3 linked regions of the Lonchura striata genome follow. The protein of the gene in region 1 binds, or shares a complex with, the protein of each later gene. Links are inferred from orthologs where the notes say so. Each region holds a gene or a part of one and is shown on either strand. Other genes may lie near its edges.

Region 1 (9,417 bases):
AGATAGATATTCCTTGAACTCTGATGGGCTTGATGTCATGACCTTTTCCCTGGAGAGACCATTGCAATTACCAACCACCATCTCAGTGAAGAGCCTTTTAACATCCAGCCTGAACACTCCCTGACACAGCTTTGCTCCATCTCCTCAGGTCCTGCCACTGGTCACCAGAGGGAGGAGATCAACACCCCCCTCCGCTGTCCTTGGAAGTTACAGACTGTGACAAGGACACGCATCGGCCTTCTTTCCTGCAAGTGGCACAAACTCATTGACATCAGCTGCTCCTCCTAAATCTTGCTCTTGAGACATCTCACCATCTTGGCAGGACACACTGCTGTCCTTAATGTTGCTCAATGGCAATGACAGCAATTGATATAAAGCACTGCATGAAACTCAGCCAAATGGAAAGGAAATGACAAGCTAAAGAGACAAATATATGGCTTAAGTCACATGCAGCAATGGCAGGTGCCTATTTGAGCCTTTGTATTTCACAGTGCTCCTACATATCAAATAAACAGTGCAAGAACAGAAACAATACATAGCCTGGCCATGTAACCCTTTGGGAAGATAATTTAAAAAAGGACCTAGAAAGAACAAGCAACTGGTAGTTCACTTTTGTTAACATAACTAACATTAACATACTTGAATTTCCATGTTCCTTCCCTTTTAAATTGAAAATGTTACCCAATTCTTTGCCATTGCTGAATGCTGACAATTGTTAATTTATAGGTAGATAGCTGAGAAAAACAAAATTTCAAGTCCCTGTTATGGGATGAAAGGAAGAAAGCACTGAAATTCCTTCTCAGGTATTCTTGTTCTGCAGCTGATTTTGCCAGAGATGCTACAAAATGTGTAAACAGCAAGACTAAGTTTTGTAACTGATATAATCTTAAGTAGGAAAAGTTACAAAAATACAAAAGATACAAAAAGCCCATTATTCAGCAACTATCTGAAATTGTTTCATGGTTTTCTATATGCTTCATATAAAACATAGTAATAGTCTTACAAACAAGCCCAGGAACCCTCAACATGAGAATAGTTCCATTCAATTTGAGACCAAACAAGAACTTACCATAAGCATCTTCATCTGGCTCCCCACTGCTAGCTGAGTAGTATTCTAAGACTGTTCGGTACACACTGTAGCCTAGTTGTTTATACATATTTACAGCAACCTGATTTGATACTCTCACAAAGAGATCGACAAAAAATCCGCCCTTTCTTTAGCAGGGGAGGAAAAGAAACAAACAAAACTACATTAAGAAACGGCAGGTAAATGCATTTCTAAGTAACAACCCATAAATTGTAATGAAACCAAAGCAAGTCCAATGTAGTATACTAATTAAACACCTTTGCCAATGTCATAACAGATATGCTCCTTTACCAAGGGAAAAATCAATTATAGACAAGGATTTAATTTTATTTTTGTCACATGGCCATTCTACATCAGGCAGTGAGTTCAGAAATTTGATCAGAAAGAACAAGACAAGTTAAATGCACTCACAGGCCTAAATACAATTTAGAAAGTGTCCACATTTTAGATGGCTTGGATTAGGAGGAGTGGAATCAGTCACAAAATTCAGCTGCCTAACAGGAGATGACAGACCCTTAATTTCACAAGGCAAATTTTTCAAAACATCATGCTACTTTTCAGTAGTATGGAACTAACCATAGTGGGGTTGCCCTACCAAAATCAGTTAAGGACATTTGACATTTCTCAGTGGATTCATCTGACACTAAATTAAATTTTCTCAGGTACAAGTAATCAAGCACAGGATGGCAAGTAAACTAAGATACTCTTTGCAGTATAAAATTTGTTCAGGCACAAAGCCTACGGTTACTGAACAAGAATGTTGGAGAACCTACAGGAAACAGTGCTGATATTTCACAAAGCTCTTTTCCTGTAAAAAGAAATATTCTTTTATATGGTATCTCTACTGGAATTCAGGCTATGCCCTCCTCACTCTGGCAAGTTAGCTAACCCTGAGATTTTAAACTGCTAAGCAACTTTCATAACTCTTTTTCTCCAACTATGAGGAATTTCAGAAAATCAGAACACCGTGTAAAGCAAAATTCTGCCACATAAAACCAGGGACAGGTTTCTGTAGAAATACTACTTTTAAATGTTATTTTAAAAGATGAATTTAAGATAGACATACTACTCACTTTTCTGAAATTTCTTCAAGGAGCTCCATCAATTTAGCAGCCAAACCCAGCCGTCGAAATTCTGGTGCAACAGAGAGAGCAGTAACGTGTCCATGCCATTCTTCCCTAGCCACAGAGCCTTCGGCTTTGCCCATGACTGTGAACACAGAGAGCATCAGCACAGCAGCACCTTTGGAGTAATGCACTGCCCGCAGCCAGACAGCTTCACAAGAGGAATAAACCATGGAAAAACACACATTACAATGACTGTGAGAAAGGCTAGAACAGAGATGTCTACCTTTTCACTCTAAATTCAGCAGCCACTAAAAATGTCATTTTGCTCAAATATTACAGCGGTTTTTTGACTAGTGCAAAAAAACACTAAACAAGTTTGCAAATTCCTTCCTTGAGGTGACTTCTAAATGCAAATTTTAAGTAATTTTCACAAGTCTCACCGAACCAAAATTTAAGATCTGACTGAAATAAAGGAGGAATAGAGGGCTAGGAACCAAAACTACCATCCCAGCAACTATTTGAGACTTTTGGAGATTATGGGGGAAAACAGCTTGGGAAGCTTTGCTGGTCTGGCAATAGAAAGCTAAGACTCACAAACCCAACGTGTTTAAGGAGAACAAAAAAAAAAAAAAGCAAAAAACAAATCACAAAAAACAACCAAACCCCCCCCCAAAAAACCCCAAAAAACCAAAACAAAAAAAAAAGTGGAGGTGGGGATGGTGTTTTGGGGGGCTTTTTTTTAGTTTCTCTCCTTTCTACACTGGGCCAGTCCAGTGTTAGTTTATTAATGAACATTCACACTTCCACCCTGTGCTTTTATAGATATCACAGTCACTGCTAGTAATCAACAAGTGTGGTGGGTACAGAGAAATGTTCTATACAGCACACATACTTTCAGCTTTAGTATGTCAAATATTTTTAGTTCCTGAGTCCCTACAAAAACCATTACTTCTGTCCCACACCATCTCCTGGCAGTTCTCTTTGGCATGATTTCTGAAAAACACAAATATTCCACAGCAAATTAGCAAATGACATCCAGGCCCAGAGCTTTCCCTTACAGGGCAATGCAAAATCCAAGCCCAGCACTTTCAGTGACTGTGGGTAGGGACTTAATTTCAGATTACAGAAATACCCATTCACCAAATACGGGTGGATGATACCACAGCAAAGGCTCCTCGCTGCGCTAGGAACATCAAACTGGAAGCTACGGCCATGAGTCCTGCACAATACCCTAAGACATTTAAGAAACGGGAAGACGCAACGCAAGGTTCCTCTTCCATGTTGGACATTTGGTAAACGCGAAGAAAAGCTCCCGCGTTATAATCCCCGAAATAGGCAACGAAGGGAGACGTTACCGCCGGAACACCCGGCACTCACTGTAACCCATCAGCTCCCCGCCGGGCGCCTCGGCGACGATGAAGTACTCGGGCCAATGGGCGAGGTACTGCAAGTAGAAGGGAATCCCGTACTGGCCGCTCAGTTAAGGAGCAATTGCGGCCGCCACGGCTGCGCCGCCCGCGCCCGGTCCCGCGCCCCTGCCCCGGTGGGAAGGATACGGTCTCGGTCAGCGGGTCCAGATTGCTGTGGGGGAAGAGAGTGTGGCGCTCAGCATGGGCCCGGGCCCGGCCGGCCGGCGGGGCGCCGCGAGCACCCCGCGGGGTGGGGAAGCGCGCAGGGCTCGGGGGCAGGAAGAGGGGACAGCCGGCGCTCACATGTTGTTGAATCGGAAGAGGTCGTCGCAGGTGAAGGCGCGGAGCGTTGTCATGATGATGGCGATCACGACGCTGACGCTGAGCGCGACAGTGACGAGTGCCCCGGAAACACTCGCGGGCCCAGGAGCCGCTCTCGCGGTGGAAAGGCGGCAGACAGCGCCCCCGCCCCTACGCAGCCCTGTCCCCGCCCGCTGAACCGCCCCGGCCCGGCCGCGCCTGAGCCCGCCGCAGCGCGCCGGGCCGAGAAGGGGCGGGGCTGCCTGGGGGACACGGCAGAGCCGGCCCGCAGTGCGGCGCGGCGGGGCAGGGTCCAGCGCGGCCACAGGAGCACGAGTGCTGTGAGCTTGTGCAGCTCCACCCCGAGCACTCACAAAGCTACACGTAACGCGACGTGACCGCAGTATGCGAGACTACCATACGCAGAAAAACAACTCTGCACCTGGAAAGATGCCACCGGACGAGATCGGACACACACTGGAACTGCCGTGCCCAGCACATGCTCGCCTCATGTGGAATGAATCCCACAGCTGCTCTCAGCACCAAAACATCACTGATGCTGAACGCCCCTCACCACTCTCCACTGATTTCAGCACCTTGCTCGTCCCACCCTGCAGTCTTTCCACCTTGCCCTCTCAGACCGCTGGCCCATCAACTTCGCTTTCAGAGGGCTGTGAGTCAGAATTAATCCTCAAGAAGAACAACACCTATTTAACTGGGATGCTGCTGCCATCAGCAGTAGGTGCCTCTTCATGATTTGCAAAAACACAGGCTGGAGGTCATGCCAGCCAACATGGACCTCTTCCACAAAAATACTGTCCACAGTAGTGGGCTATACTCCACTCACCTGTTGCACAGCATCTCTTGCATCACCCAAAAAAACAAAGAAACAAGATGTCCATGAGCATAAGCATATGCCCATAAGCATTCACCTACTCCACATGGCCTGCTGTGCCATTCCTCTCACTTCCATTCAAATGCTGAGCTATTTCTGAAGTTATCACTGCAAGGGACCCAGATCACTCTAGTTATTGTGAAGGAAGGTTTGCCCAAAAGTTGGAGGCTATACTGCGGGTTTGGTTTTTGCCCTTTAAAGTTCTGCATGCGATGCAGTGAATGGAGTTTGGGTACATGTTTTGGGACAATGAAAGAGGCCTTTCTTGACCTGGAATTTATAATCATGAGATGCTGGCAAGGGTACTTCAAACAGAGTGTAGCCTGTCAGATTCGAGATCTGTCAGATTTCTGATAATTTAAGGGTCAATGTTTTGGTAAGAAAAAGTTGATTCAAGGTCTGTAGTTGTGGTGCAAAAGTGATGTGGGATTTCAGAGTTGCCAGAAGCAGGAAGATACTGGATTGTGGTGGAGGTATGAAGGGATATATGAAACGTGGGAGATGGAATATACCATTTTAAGGCTGGTTCTTGAGCCTTTGAGGAGTTAGGAAATGTATAGCTTTATAGCCCTCTCCTGCTTGAGGCACTCTTTTACTGCAGAACTACAAGAATAATATAATACACCCTTAAGAACAGAAAAAGCTCAACCGTTCACTTGACTGTCGTGGCTAAGACACTCGCTCCAGCCAAACTGGACTTTGGGCTGCTTTGCTGTACTCAAGGTAAAGCCTTTGCTTCTGAAGTGCTAAAAAAGGCACTAAAAAGTGCTAAAAGGCACTTTTTTACTGTGACTGAAATTGGTTCAAAAACTGGTCATGGCTAGAGTGGTCTTTACTATTATCAAATTAATTCCCAATATTGTAGCATAAGCCAACATATTCTACTCAGTGAGTTTGAGTTTTTATTTTAAATGACTACACATCAATATATAGTTCTGCTAGTATGAAAACTATGCAGGTCAAATCTTGTGTGGCTATCTCTGCTGAGTGAAGTACAGGTGAAACAACTTTAGGCCTTACTTAAATGTAAGTACAGAGATTATTAAAGACTTCCTTGTTGCTGTTCTCGACCGACTCCGGGCGGGCGCCGGCGGGACACAGCGGGAGGGGGAGAGAGGCGGCACCGCTTTCTCCCCTTCGGCTCTGCGAGGCTCAGTTCTAGCGCGGGAACAGACGAAATGGCGACGCGGGACTCGGGTGCAGACACGTGTTTATTGTGGGAGCGTGTCCCCGAGACACCGGGACAGCGACCGGGGGTCGGTTATACCCCGTGCCGGGGGCGGGGGGAACCTGAGCCGCAGCCAATGGGACAGGGCAGGGGACAGGGGCAGGGAAACCGCGGGGACAGCGAGGGGAAAAGCGGCGGGGCAGGGACCGGACCGCGTGGCGAGGGGGAAGGTCAAGGGAACGCAGGAATGGGACAAAGGACCACGGGAGGGAGGGGGAACGCGCGGGAAGGGGGAAGGGGGAATGGGGGAAGAAGGGAAAATTACAAACTCCCGCACTTCTACCCCTTCCCAATTACCTTTTACTATATATTACAAGTGGAATATCATTCAGTCCCAGCTAGGATGTGTGGAGTGTAAATTAAGAGGTAATTTTAGCACTTCTATGAAGACAAAGATGATTTCACCCTTCAGAGAACAAATATTTTCCACAGCTAGTTTTATTTTCAATTACACCAAAATCAAATGTTGACAAGTAGTGTCTTAAAAGCTACAAAAGCAGGATTTCAACCCAGCAACAGATTTAGAATCAACTCTATGTTCAATTACAAGTCACCATCCAACAGAGACCTTCCCTAGAATGTTTAATGTTAGCAATTTTCACTGTACATACTCAAGGTATGCTGTATCTCAAGTATCAGTAGAATTTTGTCTAAGGGACTCATCATTAAATGAAGACATCTGCATATTTAGAAGAACCATAATTATGGTATTACTGGTATCAATTACTGTGAAAAGAAGCAGCTGTTTCTCAGCAGAGAAAAGTGATGGCAAATGTGAAGAGGAATAATTAAATACGTGTGTTGTATTAAGTGTGTGGCTTAGGTAGGATTTTATTGGTTTGTTTGGTTTGGTTTTTTAAAGTGCTCTGCATGATCCACCATCAAAAGATGCCTGTATGAAGACCAGTACTAGCATGGTTGATATTACAGGAATAGAAAAGTTAAGCATTCACACTGTCAAGCTCTAATTTGAATCTTATATTTAAAAAAAAAAAGCCAAGGCCCATACATTTAGATACAGAATTGAAATGTTTCTACACATCTTAGAATACAACCAAATAACATGTTACACTCAGGTTATGAGAACCAGCCTGTTCTGAAACAATTTATGAAGTGACAAAGTCCACAGCAAAGCTACTGCTTTACTTCCATAATGTAAACACATCTGAAAGAAGTATATGCTGACAGTTTCACAGATGAGATTATAAATCAGTAAAACCAAAGCAATTGGTCATAAAAATCTTTTGTCTCTTATGAGACCTAGCTTACAAGCTCAGGCTGTACATTTATTCTTCGAAGGACATCTTCTGGCATACAAAAGACAGGATTGACGGCCTTGATTTGTTCTTCTCCTAATAAAGATAGTCCAGCAATACCAAATAAGGTGTGAAATGGATCCACCTGGAAGAAAAAAGAAAGCTTGTGTCTGTTTCCAAAAGTCGATTTGTTTTTCACTTGTATGAAATGAAATTTTCATTTGCCAGCAAGAGAAATTAGAATCTCCACAGCTTCTCTGGGAAAGACAATACAACTAAATACACTTTCATTTGTGCTAACATGACCTGACAGGCAAGAAATTTCCATAGCAGGTATTTACAATACGATGATTTACTCAGGCATGCTTGTCTATTTGCTGCTAAGACAATTTTCATCTCTGAGATAGAAAGCACTCACATTTGTCTATTAGCATGCAATATCACAGGGTGGTAGAAGCAAAGATAATTAACATTTTAAAAGTAAACCGGATCATCTACAGGTACCACTTCCATAAATTCCCCATTTGTTCTTCAGAAATATCATAATGCTCTTTATTGGTTTCCAAATACAGAGCTGTGCTGTAAAACCTTGAGAGAGAGGCAGCAACCTATTATGTCAGAAAACCTCCCACAGCTATAAATAAAACCAAAACCCCCCCAAACGTCTACTCCTAAGACCACCACCCCTCTCTCCCCTCCCCCCCGCCCCCAAACAAATGAATTAACAACCCAAACACAAAATACCCCAAAACAAGGTCTGTTAGGACTGAGTTTCTACAGGAATAAAGCAAAAACCAGGAAGTCAACATTTCTACAGAAGTAGAATTTTCTACACTTCAGCAATCAAAGACAGGTAAGAATAATATTAAATTACTGCTAATGTAACATAGAAAAGCTGTCCCAAAGGTGCTCTCCTTAGATATAGAGAAAAGCCTCTTCAGAGTTGCTCTTCCAAGAAGATGCATATATTTCATTACTCAAAGCTAGAAAAGCATTTAGACTTCAAGTTCCGGGCTTTTCTTCAAGAATTCTGAAAACAGAAAAGGTCTTCCCATAAGCTCCTTAGAAACTCAGAACTCTTCCTATTTTAAGAACACAAAAACACTTTCTAAATGACAGATTGGCGTTAACAGATTTCTCCCCCAACTGGGAATAAAGCAGCTGCTTGCAAAAAAATAAAGTTACTTTATTTTTGAATGCATTTGTGGAGAAGGGAGCAGATATGGGCAGCTGCAATAAAAACAGATAATACCTTTCCAGACCATTAAAAATAAGCCAAGTGTTCAACAGGAATGAAGTCTCACAACACTTCATATTTTATCTGTGCAGCATTCTTGAAAGATAAAAACTTTATCTGCCATTTCACTGGGACAATATTAATTAGTTCCACTTGAAATCAAAGAGAACAGACCAGCTAAATCGTAACTTCTCTCTCAACAAGCAAAAAATTCATAGCACCAGCCTCTTGATGATGTTATCTCAAAAGCTTCTTCCTCAGCTAGACAAATGTCAACTACAAGACTCATTCAGTGGCTGGGCTAGCAAAGAATGAAAGTTAGTGTATAGGGATTCTAAATAAAAATTCATTATTTAATTAGATCAGACAAAACAACAAGAGAGCTGAAGACCATTTAACCTACACCAGACTTTAGCTTGCAGATCATTTCACAAAACAAAATAATAAACCCAAAGTACCCATACATGCACTGGAAAACCCACCACCAAATAGAGTGTTTTTAGACAGATCTTCCAAATGGTCTTGTGAGAAATGGTTTGTGTTGCGTGTGTTATGGGGGACCAAACCAGATTTTGTAAGGAATGGCAACAGACTTCACTGGGGGATACCTGTGTGTTGTAAAGAATGCACTCCCCAAGTACGCCTTCAATGGCAACTCTTCCCTATTCTTCCTTCAGAGTAAACTGCAGCCTCTGCAAAACCTACCTGAACCATGAATAGAGTTACTCTCAAACAAAAGTTGAAATCTCGAGTTGAAATTTTCATGTGTATTTTGTTTAGAAAAAATCTCACCATATCTCCCGGTCTGTCAGCAAATCCTCCAGTCTCCTCATCCTGGCATGCCAAAATAAAGCAGCGCAGTTTCTCTCTGTCAATCCACTGTATCCTACCAATCATCTTCAAAGATGCTAGCACCCACCACGAGTAACATACATCAG
Region 2 (10,551 bases), on another chromosome or scaffold:
TCCTTCTTACTCAGTTCCTGGTTTCAAAGCAAGTGGAGATTAAGTACTGTCACTCACTTCCTCTCTGCTTCACACTAAAAGCTCTTGAAGGATACAGAAAGATGCAGTTTTAAATTTACAGCACAGACAGGACTGCTGAGCCTCAGTCCTTCTTCCTAAACAATGAACAGGCCATTCTTTGATATCAAGAAAGGCCCTGATGCTGTGTTTGAATGAGTTAAGACAGAGCCACTAATTTCAGTCAGCCAGTGCTGAAGCCAATTGGCAGAGAAAGTTAAGGAGAAAAAACCCCCATACTTGAAAGCATAAAAACACTTTGTAGACTGTATTGAGAGGATCTTGGGTATTTAAAAGTAAAGTGGACTGAGGGAACAAAGTAGAGATTCCAGCATGGACAGGGAAAAAAAACTTCAATTAATCCTCCAATACAGTACTCTCCTACATAGCTCTAAGTTTCTCCCCTTGCCAAGAGAAATTATCCTTATGCCAAAAAAATGCTAAAAACAAAACATGAATAAAAGAATTAGAATGACCACATTTCATCCCAAACAGCAGCTGTTTTAAAGAGAACTCTTACCGGGTAGCATTAGGCTATAGTCTTACACATAATAGTTAAGAGCAGCTTAGATATAAAGGTCCAGATGTTTTCCACATTTACTTCAATTGCACTGATTTCAATGGGAAGCCATATCACCTAGGCGATCTGGACCAAAGACTCTGCATCTTCTTAATTCTCCACCAGCAATTGGAGGCTGAATGTTATGAAACTGAAAATGATTAACAGGTCCCACTCAGCCCAGTGTGGTTAGGTTCTTTTTTGCAAGATGTCAGGCAGCTTTCACAGCATAATCTGGCTGTGAATCTCAAATCTGAAAACCCAACTATAGAACAAGGGAGTGAGAAGTATTAATGAACTCTAATGAATTGTGCTGCTTCTCTCCTCTGCTCATAAAGGGCCTTCACCACCTTTTGCACTGCAATCATTATCAACCTGTGGAACAAAAGATTATCACACTGGCCTTTGCTAATGCTGCACAGGGGAAGAGACAACTCTGCTGAGTGCTTGGGAAGTAGACAGAGAAACATCCTCCTTTCCCTATTTGAACTTGTTGAAATGTCATGCCTGTATGGGTGAGCACACAACTGGACACAAGCTGCCAGAGCTTCTAGAGGCAGCTTCCAACCAAAGGCTCTTTTGCCTGTACAACAAACTGTGCACATAGCTCTTGCCTCCTGGAAAGGAGACACCTGTTGGGAGAAGGATCCTCCAACCATTACTACAGTTACATGCACAAGTCCCTATCATAGCTCAGGGCTCTGTGGTCACCAGCAATTGCTTGAAATTCTTGCAAAAAATAGCAAGCCTGCTCTCCAACGTTCAACCTCAGCAAAAGTGTCTCTGAAGACAACAGCAAGTCTGTTGCCTTCGGGAACAGAACTAGATTCAAATGTTATTATGGTCTGGAGAACAGGTCAGAAACAAAGATTAATTTAGCACACAATGCAGGTTTCTAATACGAAAAAAAAAAAAAAATCAATGACCCCAGAAGCATAGCCAGGACTACAAGAAAACAAAATAGAAGTTCTACCTCTGGAAAATAATTCCAACATCAAGCACAATATACAGTGGAAGAACATCTATTTTGCTGTCTTGAAAATGAGCAGATACTTATTTTAAAAGAGATTCATCCTGCAATTAGTGTTCAAAATGATTGCCATCCCTGTTGGCAAGAGCACTGAGCTTTGCTATGGCTTTAAAAGGAGGGAAGTATATTCCAAATGAGTAGTCCACACTATCTGGAGCAGAAATAATTTCTTACAGACTGGCACTAGCCTGCAAGAGGGAATCCAAAAAAGGCACTGGAATACCAGAGACCTCAGTACTCCCATTGAAAAGAAATGACTCTGGTTTTCAGCTCTGTTTTAACTTCTCTCTGTTATGTGAGCACATCTCCCATAACAGAACTGACTTGCTACAAAATCAACAGAAATGACCTACAGAAAAGGCTATATTTTCCCCCTCCATTCTTTTATAGACTAGCTTTATTTGATGAATAAGAGAAACAGAGCCATAATTTTTTTTTATAAATAACCACTTACTCATATATAGTCTTGACAGATTGTTTTTCTGTTCATTTTTCATGACAGCATTTGCAAGACACTCTTCTAAAGCTCAGTGCTTGCTAAATGAAGATGACTACCCTGAATGAAAGTACCACTCAAGGGTTTGAAAATAATTTTATCCCAGGCTCTATGGAATACTAGTTTGGCCTAGAATAAGACACTAACAACTGCTTTGCTACTTTGGGGTCTACTTGCGCTACCTCATTAACTGTAGAGGCACTTCCTTGAGAAGTCATGGAAAATTTTTGCCATGAATTTGCAATAGCAATTACACAACATGAAATTAATTTCAAAAGATAGCACTTTGCCATACAAAATGTTACTGTCAACATACCAAGCAGTTGGCATGTCTACCACACAAGTCCTGAGCTAACCTCTCAAGTGTCTCCTCCTGAAATCCTGTTCAAGTCCCACATGCTCTGTAGAACATTACAGAGCTACCTTCACCTCCAGCTTTTACATTTTTTTCATATTTATTTTTGCTGTACCAACCACCCCTTCAGCCTTGATCTGGCAGACTTGCATGTAATACCACTCAATGACCTGTACTGTAAGGCACTTGGCTTCAAAGAACCAGAGCTCAAGAAGGCACAAATTTCCTCTTGTTTCTTTTGCAATGGTCTCCTATGAGCAATTAAATATTTTTTTGCAGAAGAAGGGGTCTGATGAGGATCCAGTTGTGAATGTTGGGGTGCACCAATCAGCAGCGTGCTCTCTGCTGCCCACCTACCCACATACAGGACTCCCTCTTTCGTCTTTCCTGCTGCCTCTGCCACACCCTGCTTGGTTTTTTCTGCTGCTGCTACGACTCCCTCCTTTGCCTTGGAAAGCCCTTTCATGAACACATCCATGGCTGAAGACTTTCTTCAAACAGCTCTAGAGAAAAAAAAAAAGAAAAAAAGTACACACTTTCAGTAAGGTTTTTTATCCCAGAAAGGGGAAAAATATTCTAACCAAATGGGATCACAATTACTTTTAAATTACATTATTTATACCACCCAAATTGTATAGCTATATGAAACAGATATCCCATTTCCACAGAATCCTATGGAGAGGTTACCAATAATGGAGTTCTGACTGGAAGATGGTTCCATTGAGATAAGTACCTTCCTTGCCTATGAAGTCATCATTTCTCCCAAAGGACAGTTCTGTTCATGTGCTGAATGCAAGATTTAGTCTTGTGATTTGATGACACTCCACCTCTCATCCAGAGAAAAAAGCCTACTTAAATAAACATCAGCAACTTAAAAACAAACAGACCAAACTGAAAACCAAAACACATAAATCAAAACCTCTCATAAATGACAAATGTTCACTTGTAAGAAAATGGCATTACAACTCAGGACTGGAGAAAATTAAAAATGCTGCATTTCCATTAGTCCAGCATTTTACACACAGTCCACATCAACCTTTTGGAAACTGAGTTTTCCTGAATGGGTTCCTTGCATGCATCACAACTGAGAAAATATTTTACTAAAAAGCAAAAGCAAGAACGCAGGATGTTAAAAGCACTGCACTAAAGCTACCAAGAGAGTCCTATCACAGCAATACAATCCAGTACTACACCGAAACCACTTAAATAGTAATTAAAACCCAGAATCACCGTCCCTCCAACAAATCCATTATCAGTCATCTTTTCTCTTCCTCCACCCACACAGACATGAGTGCTGCCTGTTATCTTCTCTTCTTTGCCAGAGGCTGAGTAGGAGGAATGCATGTCTAGGAAGGCATCTGAGGACGTCGCAGCTTTCCACTAACTCGTGACGACCGTGCGAAGGAAGGCAGCGTTTGTGCTCCAGCCAAGCTGCCCACGGTACCTGCCGCCCTGGGGATGGGGAAGGGGGGTGGGTGCCTTGCACAGAGCGCCGGGGGAGGCAGCACCGGCCCGCGGGACCCTCGGCTCCTCCACCGGCAAGGTGCCAAGGCCCGGCCCCGGGGCAGTGCCGCGACCAGGTGCGGGGGCACCGGGGGACCGCGGGTGTGCATCAAAGAGCATGGGCACCTGCAGAGGGAGGAGGGAGGAAGCAGGGCGTATGTGCGCATATATGTAGCTTATACATACACAAACATATAAATACATGCACGCGGCGAGGCACCTACCGAGGAAAGGAGAGCGGCGCGACCATATGGGCACCCTCGGGCTCCCGCGGACACGCCGTCGGCACACGGCGGACACGGCGCCCGGCTCCTCCTCCCTCCCCCGTGCCCACACGGGAACGTGCAACGGGACAGATCTATCCAGCTGTCTCTGGTATTAGATACACACCTATGGCTCCGTGCAGACGCGCCCCGCCCCGCCCGCACTCACCGCCGGGCTCCTCCGCCACCGGCGAGCGACCCGTTCCGACAGGCGGGGGCGGCGCGGCTGCGGGCGAGCGAGGCGCGGAGCGGCCCCTGCTCAGCACATCCCAAGGCTCGGAGCCCGCCCGCTCTGCTGGCACCACCCCGGCGGCAGCCCCGCAGGCGGCGAGAGGCGAGGGCGGGGGGCGGGAGGATGAGCCGCGGCGGGGAGGAGCAGCGGCTCTTGCTCCCTGTTGAGGATGCGCCCCCGGCCCGGCCCCCTGCGCCCGCCCTGTCACGTCCTGCGCGGCGGTGCGGTGGGAGGCGTGATAAACTGGGAGCACCTGTTTGCTGGCCTTCTGGAGAGAGAAGCAAGGGTTAAAAAGGTGGGTAGGGCGATTTGGTCCCCCTGGGACTCCGCACAGTCACCACTCCCTCCAAGGGCTGGAGAGCCTCATCTTAGAAGTGTAAGGAAGCTGTTGTTGCGGCACAGCCCCGAGTCACTTCACCAAAGCCTTACAAAATCTCCCCCAGCTTCTAATTCTTTTTCATCTACTTCCCAATCTTCAACCTTGTATGACTGCAGTTCAATGTCACTGTTCTCACAACATTCATGCTTCCAGTTCATTTTAAGCACGGGAGGTGGTGGTGCTCTTGCAGGTGTAATTCGAGTTTTAACTCTATTGCACACACAGAAGAGTATTCATCCCAAATGAAGAGAAGTACGGCCAGACTTGCCCAACCCTTACACCGTTGCTTGCATCTTCCTCCACACAATCCATGGCCACTGCCACCCAAATCTTAAACTCAGGCAGAAAAGTCACTTTCTCCCCAGAAAGGGAAACCTATCAAATTTCTCTATTTTGGTCACAGAATTTAAGCATGAAAAGCCAAGACCAGTAGGAGACAAGGCACTAGAACAGATGGACCTTCAGTTTCAGTACATCAATTCAAATCCTGCAAGACTTACAGAAACAGCTTGGGTTTTATTGCACTCCAAAAGGAGAAACAGAACATGGATGATACCAGGTTGTGAGCTGCAAGGAGTATCTTTCATCCATCATCCCGTGCAGACAGCTGATGCATCCCTGGTTCTCATGCTAAACATGTAGTGCAGGGTCTTGTTCTTGTCAGGTTTCTTTGTAAGTAATATTTCTGTATTGTTTGGTACACTTTATTTTGTTTCATTCTACTAGTAGTTTTAATCAACCAAGCATTAGGCAACAGATTTTATTTCTTTGTGTAACAGTGTTCAGACTGGTAATACACAGATGTATACAAATAAATAATTTTCTCATCATTCTGCCATCAAGAAAACCTTCAAAAAAGCCTAGAAATTGAATTACATAAGGTACCTCACCTCATTGATCCTGTGCAGCACATTTGTAGTTAGTAGTGCTAGATGTGGTATTTCTATTTTATTCCTATTTTAGGGAGAGGACAGTAAGTACAGTTCCAGACAGTAAATAAAATTTAATCAAAATCATATTCTTTGCACATGTTAACTGGCCCAATTTGTGTATCTTAGTATGTAAATTGGCTCTTTGAAAACCCTTCAGTCAGTCATTTTATACTACCCTGAGCAGAAAACTTAGACTCCAAATTAGAATTAAAACGAATCTCACATTCCTTATATAATTATTATCTTCCAGATTTAAAGAAGGCTTTACTTTTTCCATGCAAGTGACTATGAGTATGAAATGTTGTTTTTTATTATGCTGACATCAATCTACACAGACTTATTGTATTTAATTATGTTTGGAGGAACAGATAATCCTGTATGATAAACAACCTTGTATATTTATGGTTCTGTTTCTGAAAACTTTAGGAAGAAGAGCTCAGATATTTGCAACTCGTAGCTTTTGCAAGCAGTCTTTTTTTTGCCTTATGTTTATCAAAGACAGGCATTATGTTTTGCTGTTAAACAAAGTAACAGCTTGTCCTTTAACAAAATCATACAGCTAGAAATAGAGAGGTAAAGGCAAGAGGGATCAGTTGCCACAGTAGAAGTAAAGCTTAAAATTTCAGCTGTAGGATTCAAACTAGGCAGCTGTTAAATTCTAAATCATTGGTTAAGAGGCATAGTAAGAAAAAACAGAGTACAAATGTTGACACACGAAATTCTTCATTCTGAAAATGAATGGGACTTAGGTGGAAAACAGAATTAAATATGGTAGAGAATGGACATTGTATATCCAAGGCAATTCCTATTTAAACATTGTCTAAAGAGCTGGTTGGGGCTTTTTTTAGGTTGTCTCTTCAGTACTATTAGTATCACAGCAAGCTCTCCCCTGAAGCCTTTTCTGTCTGAAGAAAGGATAGTAGCAAACAGATTGCCCACTGATCACATTTAAAACAATTCTTTATTTAATGACACTGTTTACTTCACATGATCATCTAAAGCAAAAATCAATTAAGTAGTACTAAAATCTTCTTTACTTCATCTTGCCTTGCAGGCTAGCTTATTAGTTTAGTTGCTAGTGATCAAGTATATCTACTTTATCACTATGAAAAGAACAATTATGGACAATTGAAAAAGGTTGCAGAGTAAAATTGATCCAAATTTACTGATTTTGGGTTACTGACTCACACAGACTCCCTGTGTACCACAGGACTGATAGGTGATTGTCATGGTTTGACACGGAAAGAGAATTTTTTCTGGAAGGAAGAGGTCAATTTGGATATTGACCAATTGAAGGTGGACACGCCTCTGAGAACACAGAGGGGTTGAAAGCAGAATTCCCAGGGGAACTCGCTCTTATTGGTTCCGGTCAGCACGCAGTGCAGCCTCTCCCCTGCCCAGCCGTGGCTGTGTGGGGAGGGGAAGCCCCCATGGCCTGAAAGGTAGGCCCCAAGGGTGGTGGAAGGACTGGAACCGGGCTGGCCCCTGCAGATGGAAGGGTGGAAGAAATCTGGGATGTCTCCGTTCCCCCCCAAGAGTGTCTCTCCCGAGAGAGAGAGAGAGAAAAAGACAGCGGCAGTTTTGTCAGCATTTCCACCGTGAGGAAGGAGGAGCAGGGGGAGCTGCAAGGTGCCCAGTGCGTGGGAGCCACCGGAGTCTGGGCATTGAGCCATCCCTGGGAGTTCGGACTTTTAACCCTTCTTTGAGAAATTAAAGCTTTGTGAATTTTTCCTTCCCCTCCTCAGTTTGAAAAAGAGGAAGAGGGACACCTTGGACCCTGGGATGTTAGAAGGAGGAATTCTAGATGGGAGGGGGACAAGGAGTGGCTTTTGGCTGGACTTTTCCATATAGCCACAAACTGAACTAATCTTCTCCTCCAAGAGAGACTGTATTTTGGGAAGATGCGAGTGAGTCAAGAGACCTGCTTCAGCTGGGAAAAGACAGAAGTGGAGTGAACAGAGAAAAAGTTAGGGGGTTTGTGGTGGTGCCCCTGTCTTAAAAGGAAAGATAAGAGAAGAAGATCTCTGTTCTTGGACCCTCGGCCCTAGGGGAAAATGGGAAAATGGGGGGACTGTGGTCCAAAAAAAAAAAAAAAAAAAGAAAAACTGAACTGTTGTTTTCTCCCCTCTTGGCAAGGCATCCTTGAAAGGAAAAATCCTAAAAGCAGTCTGTCCATCCATGCATTGGTGGTGAGAGCACTGTACATGGAAAGGAGAAGGGTCACCATGGCAAACTTTTCTCCGGGCAGTGCCACGTGTGACATGGAAACACAGGATGTTCCAGCTGTGTTTCTTTGGGGGTGTGTGGCACAGGAGAGACTCCTGCCTCCCTCGAAGGGGCTGAGTATCGATTGTCTGGAGGGTGGAAACCTGATTGGGGTCCAGATTGTGTCTCACTGTGGTTTGTTGGAGTTGCGTGGTGGGAGGAGGAATGCTTTGCAAGGTTTTCATTTTTATCTTTGTGTGCCTTTTTTTTTTCCTTTTTCCTTTCTTTTTTTCTTTTGTAGTAGTAGCTTAATAAAGTTTTTTTCTGTTATTAAGCTTGGCCCTGCTTTGCTCTGTTCTAGATTCCACTTCACAGCATTCAAGGGAGGGATCACATTTTCATGGGGGCACTGGCATTGTGCCAGCGTCAAACTATAACGAAACCTCAGACGAAAGGTACTTTTGAAAACCTGAAAGCTGCAGTATGAAGGGAAGCTGTCTTAGGGCACTGTGTTCACAGTTCACATTGATTACACTGCTTCAAGGCTCTTCTACCAATAATTACAGCCTGGGGTTCCTGGGGTCTATCTGACCCTGGCTGCTGTAGGTGTCCCAGATAGCGAGGTACAGCTAAGCACAACCTGTCCAGGTCCCACAGGCAAGCTCCCATCCCCAGGCAATCTTAGCAAGCAGCTCAGTTCTTATGTGAGATCAGCTCTTTGGTGAATTCAGCTCTTCAGGATTCAGCTCTTTGCTTGCTAAGGTGCCCCAGCAAACACAGGGAGAGAAGCCTTCTCCTGAAGGTTGTATGAGGTTCCACAGAAGTGTCTTTATTGGCAGCTCCTGTGAAGGTGACAGTGACAGCTCTTCTGCTGAACTGGGTAGAAATGCAGGTTTATATAGGGTGCAGGGGTTTTGGAAATGGTCCAATGGCCAGGGTCGAGGCAAATATGGCCTTACAGAGAGGTAATGAGAGTCCAAAGGTGGAAGAGGGACTTCTTTGGTCCAGTCATCATGACTGGGCATTTCTTATCTTAGGCAAGTGACCGCCAGGGAGGCCTTGCAGGGCCTCTGGCTGCTAGAGCAGATAATCTGAAAATGGTCTTCATTGGATATGTACATTAACTGTGAGAAACTGTGAACAATTTACACACATATAGTTTAGTGTTTGGATTTCTTACAGAATAGTTTACTATATGGGTTGCTTTAGAGGCAACTAGGAGTTCAGATCAGTTTCCTAGACTCCTGCATCACGTTTGCATTTCTATTCCCATTCAGCTCCCTCTGGGAACTGTTGCCGTCTTTACTGACCATGCTATAACTACCTGTGTGCCCCTTTCTGAGAACTCAAAAATACACTCAATTGAAAAAAAAATATTAAGATGACTTCATTGTTGCTTACAGGTAAGCCTGAGATTTAGCAAAACATCTTTTTCTTATGCTCATAAGTGTTGTACTTTAACACTCCAGAGCAAACATGGTGTTCCCATGATGTTTACTCCACTGAAAGTTAAGCACATGTATTAAAGCCTTCATACAATCAAGAATCAACCCACATCAGAGTTAATTTCCCAGTGGAAGCATTCAGTTTATTAATTTAAAATTAATATTTGTTATTATGCAGCAGTCCCATTGCAAAGATTTCTGTTTGTAAGCTGTTTTGATAGCTATAACTGGGTGATGGGTTATTGTGGGCTGGGCTATTGGATGTCCACTATCTGTTGCCAAGAGATGCAAATAGAACTCCTCACAAACGTTTTAACTGATATAGACAATATGACATCCATATATTGTATTGGAGTACTTGGATGTATGTACACACCTACACACACAGATGTACATATACATATATTTCAGGAAGATTGATGTATGTCCCTCATCTGGTGGATTTCAGCTCAGCTATACTAATCTTGACACAACTCTAATCACCAGACAGAAGGGTCTCACAGCTTTATACACCTCTGTACAGGCAGAACCTGCCACACATTTACCTCTCTTTCACTTGCAGTCAATGGTGAAGTTACAGAGCCATCACAGCTTTTATAAGCAATGGTGACATTTCATTCATTAATTAATCTCTCTGGGCTAGAAATTCAGCCCTAAAGGGCGCAGAAACTCTGTCTGTTGCACCTGAAACCTTTAGCAAAGTTTTACTCTGAAAAGCAGTATCTTGAGTGCCAAGGAAGCCATCTGGCAGCATGTTTCTACTCAGGGACAACCAGATGAGGCTGACCTAAGGGTGTCTGGCAAAATCAGTGTTGATTATTCTTTAAGATGTTTCCCACAGAATTACAGAATATGCTGAGTTGGAAGGGACCTCACTGAGTCCTTCTCTTAGCCCTGCACAGGAACATCCCCAAGAGTCATACCATGTGTCTGAGAACATTGTCTAAAGGCTTCTTGAACTCTGTCAAGCTTGGTGCTATGACCAGTTCCTTGGGGAGCCTGTTCCAGTGCAAAACCCCTCGCAGGGTGAAGACCCTTTTTCCTAATATCCAGTTTAAATCTCCCTGATACAGCTTCAGGCCATTCCCTCAGTCC
Region 3 (9,558 bases), on another chromosome or scaffold:
AGGGCATAGGCTTCATCCTGCTTGCCAGTCCTCTGCAAGCCAATGGCCTTCAGCACCTGTGGACACAACACAGGCAGCTCTCAGAGACACAGTCTGCATTTGGAAACCCTCTCGCTCCTGCTGGGAACAGCCCAAGCACCTCATTCCCTCTGCACAACTCCAGGATTTATTAATCTTTTAATCCATATGGCTGGACAGGAAAACTCCCAAATGCAACAGCATCAAAGAGGGGATCTGACTTCTTAATAAATGCTGAGGTTGCCCCGAGGTATCATCACATAATTTCTCTACCTGGAAGCTGTAAACTGACCTGTCCTGGCAATTTTCCTTAGTTTTCTTTCACTAACTGGCCAGAGAGAAGTGACATAAACGAGAATCAGGTCAATGACACTCTCTGCAGCTTGGGAAGCTTTCAAAATGTAGAAGTGGAGTGAACTGCAGCAGGAAACCCCCAGGGAAATGAGAAAAGCAGAAAGAGTCACACGTTCAGAAAAGGGAGGAACAGAATCCCTTTCCCTCAACAGGGTCACAGCGAGGAAGGTGGACAAGGAAAACAGCAAATGCCTCCAAAATCATGGAATCCTGGAGTGCTCTGGGTTGGAAGGGACCTTAAAATCATCCAGCTCCATTTTTCATGGACCAAGTCTCCCCAAATTGGCCTTGAACAATTCCAGGGATGGGGCATCCACAGCTTCTCTGGGACACCTGTAATGTCTTCCTCAGACATTTCCTCCCAAGGAGATGTTTTGATCCAAACTCCCGCAGATGGCTATCCCAACCCCAGAACTCCAAGAAGCATTTTTAAATCCCAGCCCATGTGCCAAGGTCACCTGGAGTGGTGCTGACAATCAGCCCAGGTGGAACCAACACTCCAGTCCCTATCAGGTCATTTCCAGGCAAACAAGATGAGCTGGAACAGAGACATTCCAGAGGGCTCAGAAATCACTGTGGAAGCTCCCGGAGAAAGGGACAGTGGAACACCCCGAGACTCAGGCAGAACGAGCTCAGTGTCCCCCAGTCCCACTCACCTTGGCACAGTGAAGGTCCTTGTGCTTTTTGAGCAGTTTATCTGCTTGCTGGATTGCCATTTTATTATTGCCATTATCGAGATAATCTGCAGAGGAAGAGCACACACAAAATCACACCAGAACACCAAGGCCATTCTGGAAAGCCACCTCCAATTTTACCATGGAGCATCAGCTGTCACACCAGCAGCAAAAACCACATTTTCCCTGTGCAGCTTCTCCTAAGCCAAACATTCAGGAAACTGTCATTTCAGGGATGAAGGATTCATCTCATTGTACTGGTTTTAGTCACTCAAACAAACAAGCTTTTGTAATTACTCCACACAGATCATTACAGCAACAAAAGAGACACATAATAGAGAGGATTCTGCAGCAACAGCTCTTTGCTGGCAGTGCAGCTCCAGTGCTTTAGCAGGAAAAGTAGAAATTAATTTGGTGTGTCTTTGGGAGACTTTCAGTGACTTTTAACAGGCAGGAAGTTAGAAACCAAATACATACACACCAGCAAAGTGGGAAACACTTGTCTACAGCATCCATACCTCACAGGCAGAGCAAACCTGTCCCCCTGGAGTACCACTACCCTTCCACCAGGCTGGTTTTGAAGGCACAATTGTGAAGCATTAGTATTTCCTAGGGAGACATCCCACTATCTCCAGACCATTTTCTCCTCTTTTAGCTCAGAATCACAACTTTCAGATTGATCTTCACATCATTACACAATTACAAACAAGCAGTTTTAGACCAGGACACAACCCCTATATGCTCCCCTTCCCTCAAAAATCTCTCTTTCCTCAGCTAACCCAACTTTGCTGCCCCTCATGTGCCAAGGGAAGGAAGGGGCTGCTCACACTGCTCTGAGCTCTCTCCTGCCAGTTACCTGAAATTACATCACACACCTTTACCTCGCCAAACCTGTCATTCCCATTATGAGCCAGAACTTTTTTACTGAGGGTAATCCTCAGCACGAATTGTGCATCTATTCTGATTCACAGATTTCTGTTAAACAGCTCCCACATTTGCTCCTGTGGCCAGGTGGATGTTGCATATTTAAAGCAGAGTTAATTGGGCTCTTGAGCCCATCCACAGCAAACCTCTCACTAGTCAGCCTTTCCACACTCACCAAAATAAACACTGTGGCATGAAATCCAGTTTGAAGCCACAAATTTCAACTTAGGAAACCTCTGTGGAACCTCTAACATTAAAACTTTGGGGATTTCTCAGTGAAGAGGTTTCAAAGGTGTGGAACAGCACATCAGAGGCTTCTTGCTTTAAGGCTCTGTCACCCAGCTTAGTGACACACAAATTATCCCTCATGCTGAGCTGCCTGACTGGGATTAACAGCTGTGCCAAGAACATCTCAGCTTTGGGTGTTCCAAAGTAAATCAAATAACCCTCAAACCTCCCAAAAACACAGCAGAATGAAGAGACTGTATTTTCCTAACGAGTCAGGTTTCTGGAAGTCAAAGCAGCTTCCAAAGGAAATGAAGCTAAATGAAAATAAATTTCAGCCAGCGCTAGTTCATAGGTGGGGATGTTCAAAGGCTGGAAATGCACCACCTGAACCTTCAGGTGAAGGGAGAAATGTCAAGATCAAAGAGAACCAGAGCTGTCGAGGAATCCCGGGGAACCACTGCACAAACCCAGGCACACCTTGAAATCCAGAGGCAGACCTTGGGCCTCACAGTGCACCTCCCCAGCTGCTGAGGAGGGGAAGTTGTGTGCGTTTATCACACGCTTTATTTTGGTTTCTGCAGCACCACAGCCTGAGAGCAAATCTTGCACTGCAGAGAATCCTTCCCAGAACGAGCAGAAAGGAATTCTAAAGCTCTCTCCAAAATGAACGCAGCGAGATGCTCAACATCACCTGCTTTGGTATCAGCTGAATTTACTCAGCTTTTTATATTAGAACCATTTCTTACACAGGTTACGACAAGAACAACTGTACGTCAATGAAACTGCCAATCACAACACGGATGGAAAACTAAGGGGGGAAAAAACCTTAAAATCGTTACATAAAGACAAACGAACTTGAACACCTCTAATCGAACAAACCCATCTTGCTCCCTTCCCCTGGAACCCACCACGGACTCAGCCTGTACTGCACCATCCCTCTGCCCCAGCAAAGGACATCCCAAAGCACGTCCAGCCCCAAACCAGGGCAGCTCTCCACGGTTTCCATCCCTGCTGAAAAAGTTAAGAACGCTTTCCTCAATCTCTATCAAATCTTCAGTTCTAGGGACGAAACGATACCGTAGCCCGGGGAAGCGTTTTCCTTTTATTTCTCCATATTTGCATAGAGCCAAGCTTTGCCTACAACCTCCGAAGCAACCCCAACAGCGCAGAACACCCTCGGAAACATTCGGGGGGGACACAACAACGCCGGACAACTCCCAACGACACCGTCCCCTTCTACTTCTCTCCCGCCTCCCAATTAACTCCCCCAACAGCGTCACCGCTCCGTGCCACAACATCCAACCAACACAACTCCGGGGCACCCGCGGCTGCTCCCCCGGGGGTTCACCCATGCCGGCTGCCCCGCGGCAGCGCACACAGCTCCGGCCGGGGTCACCTGGGCTGCGCTCCCCCCAGGCCGAGGGGCACCCCGGGGCGCCGCGGGACCCCGGCCCGGCCGGGCGGGCGCAGCCCCGCGGGGCCGGAGCGCGGCAGGGCGGCAGGGGGGCTCGGGGGGCGGCGGCGGGGCGCGGGGTCCGTACCGTAGATGGGCCGCAGCCGGCGGTCGTTGGGGTCCTGCACATGGCCCCGCGCCGCCATGATGAGAGCGCAGAACGCAGCGCGCAGCCGCGGCCGGGGGCGGGCAACGGCGGGCGGGGCGGGGCGGGCACCGGCACCGGCACCGGCACCGACACCGGCACCGGCACCGGCACCGACACCGGCTCCGACACCGGCTCCGACACCGACACCGACACCGACACCGACACCGGCACCGGCACCGGCACCGACACCGACACCGGCTCCGACACCGGCACCGGCGCCGGCACCGGCACCGGCACCGACACCGGCTCCGGCACCGACACCGACACCGGCACCGGCACCGGCACCGGCACCGGCACCGGCTCCGACACCGGCACCGACACCGGCACCGGCAACGGCACCGGCACCGACACCGGCACCGGCACCGGCACCGACCTGATCTCACCCGACCCGACCGACTCGGAGATCGCCACCCGCTCCCTCAGCAGGCCGGCACACCCGCGCCTGGCGCCCCCCGAGCGGTCCCCGCAGGGCCGCGCTGTCGCTCTCGCCGGTGCCGCCCCCGGTCGGAGGCGGCGGCGGGTGGCCCGGTGCCCGGGGCTGTGAGGGGAGCGGGCACCGCACGGAGCCATGGCCATCGCGGCCGTGCCCGCCGCCGAGTCCCGCCTCTGTGGCAACTGGTGAGCGCGGGGTCGGTGAGGGACAGCCCGGGGTCGGTGAGGGACAGCCCGGGGTCGCTGAGGGACAGCCCGGGGTCGGTGAGGGACAGCCCGGGGTCGGTGAGGGCCGGGATCGGTGAGGGCCGGGCCGGGGTCGCTGAGGGGCAGCCCGGGGTCGGTGAGGGGCAGCCCGGGGTCGGTGAGGGACAGCCCGGGGTCGCTGAGGGCCAGGGTCGGTGAGGGGCAGCCCGGGGTCGGTGAGGGACAGCCCGGGGTCGGTGAGGGCCGGGCCGGGGTCGGTGAGGGACAGCCCGGGTCGGTGAGGGACAGCCCGGGGTCGGTGAGGGACAGCCCGGGGTCGCTGAGGGCCAGGGTCGGTGAGGGGCAGCCCGGGGTCGGTGAGGGACAGCCCGGGGTCGGTGAGGGCCGGGCCGGGGTCGGTGAGGGACAGCCCGGGTCGGTGAGGGACAGCCCGGGGTCGGTGAGGGCCGGGCCGGGGTCGGTGAGGGACAGCCCGGGTCGGTGAGGGACAGCCCGGGGTCGGTGAGGGCCGGGCCGGGGTCGGTGAGGGACAGCCCGGGGTCGGTGAGGGCCGGGCCGGGGTCGCTGAGGGTCGCACTCGCTGAGGGCCGAGCCGACCCCGCCGGCACATCGGGGTGCAGCTCCTTGGAAGGCGGAGAAACACCGGAGACGACCGTAGGGCCTTTCCCGTAAGCGCCAGGGCGTCGCGTTTCCCTTCTGATTTAGTAGGGAACTGAAATAGAAACCGAAACATTCGGATGGAAATCCAGGCTCGCTTTTCAGTGGGGCCCGCGCAAAATACACGATTCCAAGTTTTTTCTTCAGCGGTTCCGCGGCTCAGGAGGAGAAACGCGAAAATAGGATCAGTAGGCAGTGTTGTCAGTGTTGTTGTGGAAGTTTTTTTCTTTGATTACTCCTTTCTGCAGAGCCCAGTGGCTGGTAAGGAGTCACTTCACAAGTTGTGTGTTGAATTCAAGCAGATAAAGAAATAAACTTTTTTTGTAGTTGTTTCTCCCCAAGAGACATGAGAATCCAGACATTTTCTTGCAACATAAGCCTGGTTTGTTTGGTCAGTCGCTGCTGTTGGACTTCGTTGCTTTGCCAGGCTTTTGGCTGCCTGGCATCTGGCAGGGGACAGAAAAGCTGTGGTTTTAGCAAACAAAAGGTTATAAAATTAATTTAGGTGTTTTCAAGGTGGATTTCTTGGAAAGGGCATGATCCGTGTAGAAATTATGCTGTGTGTTTGAGGCGGGAGTAAGGACTGAGCTCCAGGTGCCTCAGTTCCTTTTGGTCTTTTTGTGTTTGGGTTCAAGACAGAAAACGAGCATATTAAAAATGTGGCGAATTGGGGAATTTTGGAGCAAAATGAGGCGAGTTGGGGAGTTTTGGGGTGCAGAGGAGTGTTGTTACTGCTGGGGCTCTGAGCAGCCTGGTCTGTGGAGGTGTCCCTGTGAGCTTTAAGGTCCCTTCCCACCCAAACCATTCCATGGTTCCATTATCTTGGAACAGGATCTGTCAGGCATAAAAAAGGCACTGTTTGCTTTCCAAAGCACTGTTTGACCTCTCAGAGCCAAGTTACTTTCAGGAAGAAACTTTTATCTTCTCAGACTAATTTATTAACTTGATCCCTGGTGATTACTTGTTTGTGCTGCAAGATTTCCCTTTCACATAAGGAAATAAATCCACCTGGATTTTATCTGAATGCAATGTGACTTTTGCATGTTAAATACATTAATAGCCACCTGTGCTGGAAACCTGAGGCCTGGCTGGGCCTTTTTCTAATCACTTTTAGCCGTGAATTCATTGAAATCTTTCTTAGCATTATCTTTTTGTTGTGAACAACTTTTTGTATTTGTTGTCAGTTTGTTTCTGCTCAGTAACCTCTAGCAATTTTCTCACAGCAAAAAGGATATTCCTGCAGTCAATTTCATCATCCATGAAATCCACTGTAGAAGAAATATTGAAATATGCCCCTACTGCAGCGACTCCATCCCAAAGTCTGAGATGAAGAACCACATTGATTCTGAACATGTGCAGGTGAGAGACATCTCTGCTCTGAAGCTGCCATTTCTGTGGAAATTCCCCTAATGAGGTCTCTTTGCTGTAGGTCACCTGCAAATGTAGGATGAAGATGGAAAGCAGCCTCCTAAAGGACCACGAGGTTGGTGGATTTTATATTCTTGAACCCTTGGGGGATGCTCTGGTGTTTCACTGATTCCAGAGCCTTTGGATGCCAGCATCCAGGTTTGTACATCCTTTTGTTGAGTGATGCTTCCTGAACTCACACCCTCTGGGAGAAGGGATTGGAAACTGCCCTAAAGTCCTGGAGCCTCTCAGGGCTTCATATCAGAGGGGTATCTGTGGTAATTGGTGAGTTTTTTGTCCTTGTCAGTTGAAAAATAGCTATTTAAAGTATGATTGACTTGACTTTTTTTCATTCCTTTACTGTTTCATGTTTCTCCTGAAGCCATTATGTGACTTCTAATAACTCAATCTGTCCAAACAGGCTTTAAAAATAGCCCGTAAAATAAACTAAAATAGGCCAGAGTGGGATTTTCTGAGTTCTGAATCCAGTTGGCTGCTGTCACAGACAATCTTGTTATAAATGTTATCCCTTCCTGTGGGCTCCTTTAGAGACAACTCTGGAGCTGCCACCTCAGCCTGCTGATTGCTGAGGAAAAAAGGATTTTCTGTGGAAATCTGTCCAGTTCTAAACCCTGGGAGTAGCTAATCCTGCATGTGGTTCTTCTGGATTATAAAGCAAATGATGATGTTTTATTAGTGCAGGTTGGTCATTAGTGCAGCATCTGCAAATATAATGTATTTAATTTAGTTTTAACCCCTTTTGAAGGGGGTTCAGTGTGGGGTGAAAAACATGTCCAAGCAGTTCTTGCTGAGCAGCAAATGAGGTGTGAGTTGGTTCCCTAAAAACGAGTGTGGATTTTAGCTGTGCTCATGGAATGCAACTGGATCTTGGGTCGTATCTAAAACCCAAGTCCAGAAATCACATCCTGAGTGTCTGAAGAGCTTCAGCTGCCCAGTTTGTGCCTCCAGCACATCACTGTTGCATTCCCACATCGTAGCTTGCTCCAGGTTCCTCCTTTGGAAGTGGCTGAGGAAATTCCCTGGGAAGAGTAACCCCGTGTGTTTTCCCAGGCGTCCTCGTGCCCCCTGCGCCCCGTGCTGTGCCAGTTCTGTGACATCCAGCTGGCCTTCAAGAAGCTGCAGGAGCACGAGCTGTACTGCGGGGCCCGGACCGAGCCCTGCGGGCGCTGCGGCCGCAACGTCCTGCGCCGGGAGCTGCCGGAGCACCCGCGGCTCTGCGGCGGCACCGCGCCGGCCCCCGCCGGGGAGCGCGGAGCCGGGAGCGGCCGGCACGGAGCAGGTACAGCAGGGGCTTGGGAAGAGCCAGAGCGGGAAAAGGAGATTTAGAGCGGCTGTGGGACACAGCTCCAGGGACAGAACCCCTAAGGACAGAATGTTAAGGGACCAGAACCACTAAAGAGAGAATGTTAAGGGACAGAACCACTAAGGACAGAATCTTAAAGGATAGAATCCCTAAAGACAGAACCTTAAGGGACAGAACCCCTAAAGGGACACAATTCCAGGGACACAACTCCTAAAAACAGAATATTAAGGGACAGAACCACTAAGGACAGAATTAAGGAACCAGAACCCTTAAAAACAGAATTTTAAGTGACCAGAACCTTTAAGGATAGACAGAATCTTAGGGGACAGAACCACTAAAGACAGAATCTTAAGGGACAGAACCCTGTAAGGGACACAACTGCAGGGACACAACTCCTAAAGACAGAACCTTAAGAGACAGAAGCCTTAAGAACAGACAGAATCTTAAGGGACAGAACCACTAAGGACAGAATCTTAACCAGAACCCTTAAAAACAGACTCTTAAGGGACCAGAACCCTTAAGTGGACAAAGGAAGGAAGAACTGGCTGCTTTTTGTAGCTGGTCTATGTGTGAGGTTTTGTGGTTCCTTTCTGTGAAAATACAGGATAGTGAATGCTCCAGAGGCTCCAGGTGGAAATGTTTACCCATGGAATGAGGTGCCTGGGATAAAAGCCCAGTTGCTTCTTTTTTTTTTTTTTTTTTTGTCTCAAAGTACCTGGCTTAAAAATTAAACTGGAGTTGTTTGCTCCCTGTAATTTGGGCTAAAATTTGGGTTTTTCTCCATCCTCCTGGATTTGTTGGAGGTGCCCTTGGCTTTGAGATGCTGAACTCCAGGGAAGCTCTGGGGCTGAGTCTGATGTCCAGGGGGAGCTGTTGGTGGCTGGTTTGATGTTCTCCCGAATTTACAGTATTTGTATTTCGTAGGAGATGAACAAGAGAGACCCGAAATCCTTAATTCCCAACTTCCTGAAGACTGGAATGCTGACCTGGACTATGTCTTGGCTCTCAGCCTGGAAAGTGAGAATAATCCTCACCATGATACTGCAGCTGACATTCCCAGGGATTTCTGGGAATACGACTACACCAAAGAGCCTGGACAATCTGCCCATCTTGATGGAACAGACCTGTCCAACATCTTGTCCTGTGACTCTCCAGGGTCCTTTAGCACATCAAACCACAGCAAAATAGGTATAAACACGATTGTGGTGGGGTTTATCCTTAAATCTGAGGGGCAGGGAACAAGGTTTTTGTGGAAGTAAGAATGGTGGGAAGGAGGATCTGGGGGGAATCCTGGAGTGCAGCTTGTTGTGAGAGGAGAAATGGCACCACAGGGTTCAATGATGCAGCAGGAGGTTTTTACCAGAGCCCACAGAGGACAGGACCCTTCCTTCTCTTGCAGACAAGGAGATGATCATGTTGCCCTGTGAGTTCTGTGAGGAACTGTGTCCTGCTGAAGATCTGATCCTTCACCAGGTTTGAGACTTCCTCGTGTCTTGGGGTTTGCAGTGAAGGCTTTTCTGTGGCTGTCACTGAGACGTCTGGCATTTGGGTCTTTGCTAAGGAAAGTGGTTTTCAGTGCCCACCTGGCTCATCAGGAAAGGTGATTTTTCTGTGTTGTTTGTGTAACAGACAGGGTGTAACCCAGCAAGTGCCTTTGCCTCGTTCAGTAAGAGAAGTTCTTCTCCAAATCCATGGGAATGCAGTGGTCTGCGAGCTGGGGGGTCCAACAGCC

Evidence for each region.
Region 2: the proteins of NAA20 (region 1) and SNCA are in contact, whole or in part, in a cryo-EM structure (PDB 7STX), measured with the Homo sapiens proteins. The link is inferred for Lonchura striata from reciprocal best matches to the Homo sapiens genes NAA20 and SNCA. Residues at the interface, in NP_057184.1 of Homo sapiens: Leu23, Thr24, Glu25, Tyr27, His73, Val74, Thr75, Ala76, Leu77, Ser78, Leu110, Phe111, Tyr137, Tyr138, Ser139, Ala140; in NP_000336.1 of Homo sapiens: Met1, Asp2, Val3, Phe4.
Region 3: the proteins of NAA20 (region 1) and NAA25 are in contact, whole or in part, in a cryo-EM structure (PDB 7STX), measured with the Homo sapiens proteins. The link is inferred for Lonchura striata from reciprocal best matches to the Homo sapiens genes NAA20 and NAA25. Residues at the interface, in NP_057184.1 of Homo sapiens: Thr2, Thr3, Leu4, Arg5, Thr8, Cys9, Asp10, Leu12, Phe13, Phe15, Asn16, Asn19, Leu20, Pro22, Leu23, Thr26, Tyr27, Gly28, Ile29, Pro30, Leu33, Gln34, Leu36, Ala37, His38, Pro40, Glu41, Pro49, Glu52, Met54; in NP_079229.2 of Homo sapiens: Ser226, Glu227, Ile228, Asn259, Asp261, Asp262, Trp263, Gln264, Arg318, Arg321, Leu325, Lys362, Pro363, Cys364, Thr367, Asp368, Val371, Leu457, Thr459, Glu460, Leu461, Ser504, Ala506, Leu510, Leu532, Asp533, Lys535, His536, Ile537, Gln538.

What each region holds. Positions count from the first base shown.
Region 1 is NC_134611.1:4,010,766-4,020,182, forward strand, and holds the start of NAA20 (N-alpha-acetyltransferase 20), read right to left. Parts: upstream 4,046-9,417; 5' UTR 3,920-4,045; coding exon 3,867-3,919; intron 3,736-3,866; coding exon 3,711-3,735; intron 3,623-3,710; coding exon 3,532-3,622; intron 2,297-3,531; coding exon 2,161-2,296; intron 1,216-2,160; coding exon 1,070-1,215; intron 1-1,069. Other genes in the region: RABGGTB (geranylgeranyl transferase type-2 subunit beta), read right to left, coding at 7,247-7,387, 9,272-9,417. UniProt on the Homo sapiens protein: Catalytic subunit of the NatB complex which catalyzes acetylation of the N-terminal methionine residues of peptides beginning with Met-Asp, Met-Glu, Met-Asn and Met-Gln. Proteins with cell cycle functions are overrepresented in the pool of NatB substrates.
Region 2 is NC_134606.1:53,437,281-53,447,831, reverse strand, and holds the start of SNCA (alpha-synuclein), read right to left. Parts: upstream 4,598-10,551; 5' UTR 4,391-4,597; intron 4,350-4,390; exon of another isoform or gene 4,225-4,349; intron 3,934-4,224; exon of another isoform or gene 3,779-3,933; intron 3,349-3,778; exon of another isoform or gene 3,231-3,348; intron 3,001-3,230; 5' UTR 2,976-3,000; coding exon 2,855-2,975; intron 1-2,854. UniProt on the Homo sapiens protein: Neuronal protein that plays several roles in synaptic activity such as regulation of synaptic vesicle trafficking and subsequent neurotransmitter release.
Region 3 is NC_134620.1:11,680,948-11,690,505, reverse strand, and holds the start of NAA25 (N-alpha-acetyltransferase 25, NatB auxiliary subunit), read right to left. Parts: upstream 3,829-9,558; 5' UTR 3,798-3,828; coding exon 3,740-3,797; intron 1,115-3,739; coding exon 1,029-1,114; intron 57-1,028; coding exon 1-56. Other genes in the region: TRAFD1 (TRAF-type zinc finger domain-containing protein 1), read left to right, coding at 4,368-4,417, 6,319-6,454, 6,525-6,578, 7,574-7,802, 8,751-9,014, 9,226-9,299, 9,456-9,558. UniProt on the Homo sapiens protein: Non-catalytic subunit of the NatB complex which catalyzes acetylation of the N-terminal methionine residues of peptides beginning with Met-Asp, Met-Glu, Met-Asn and Met-Gln. May play a role in normal cell-cycle progression.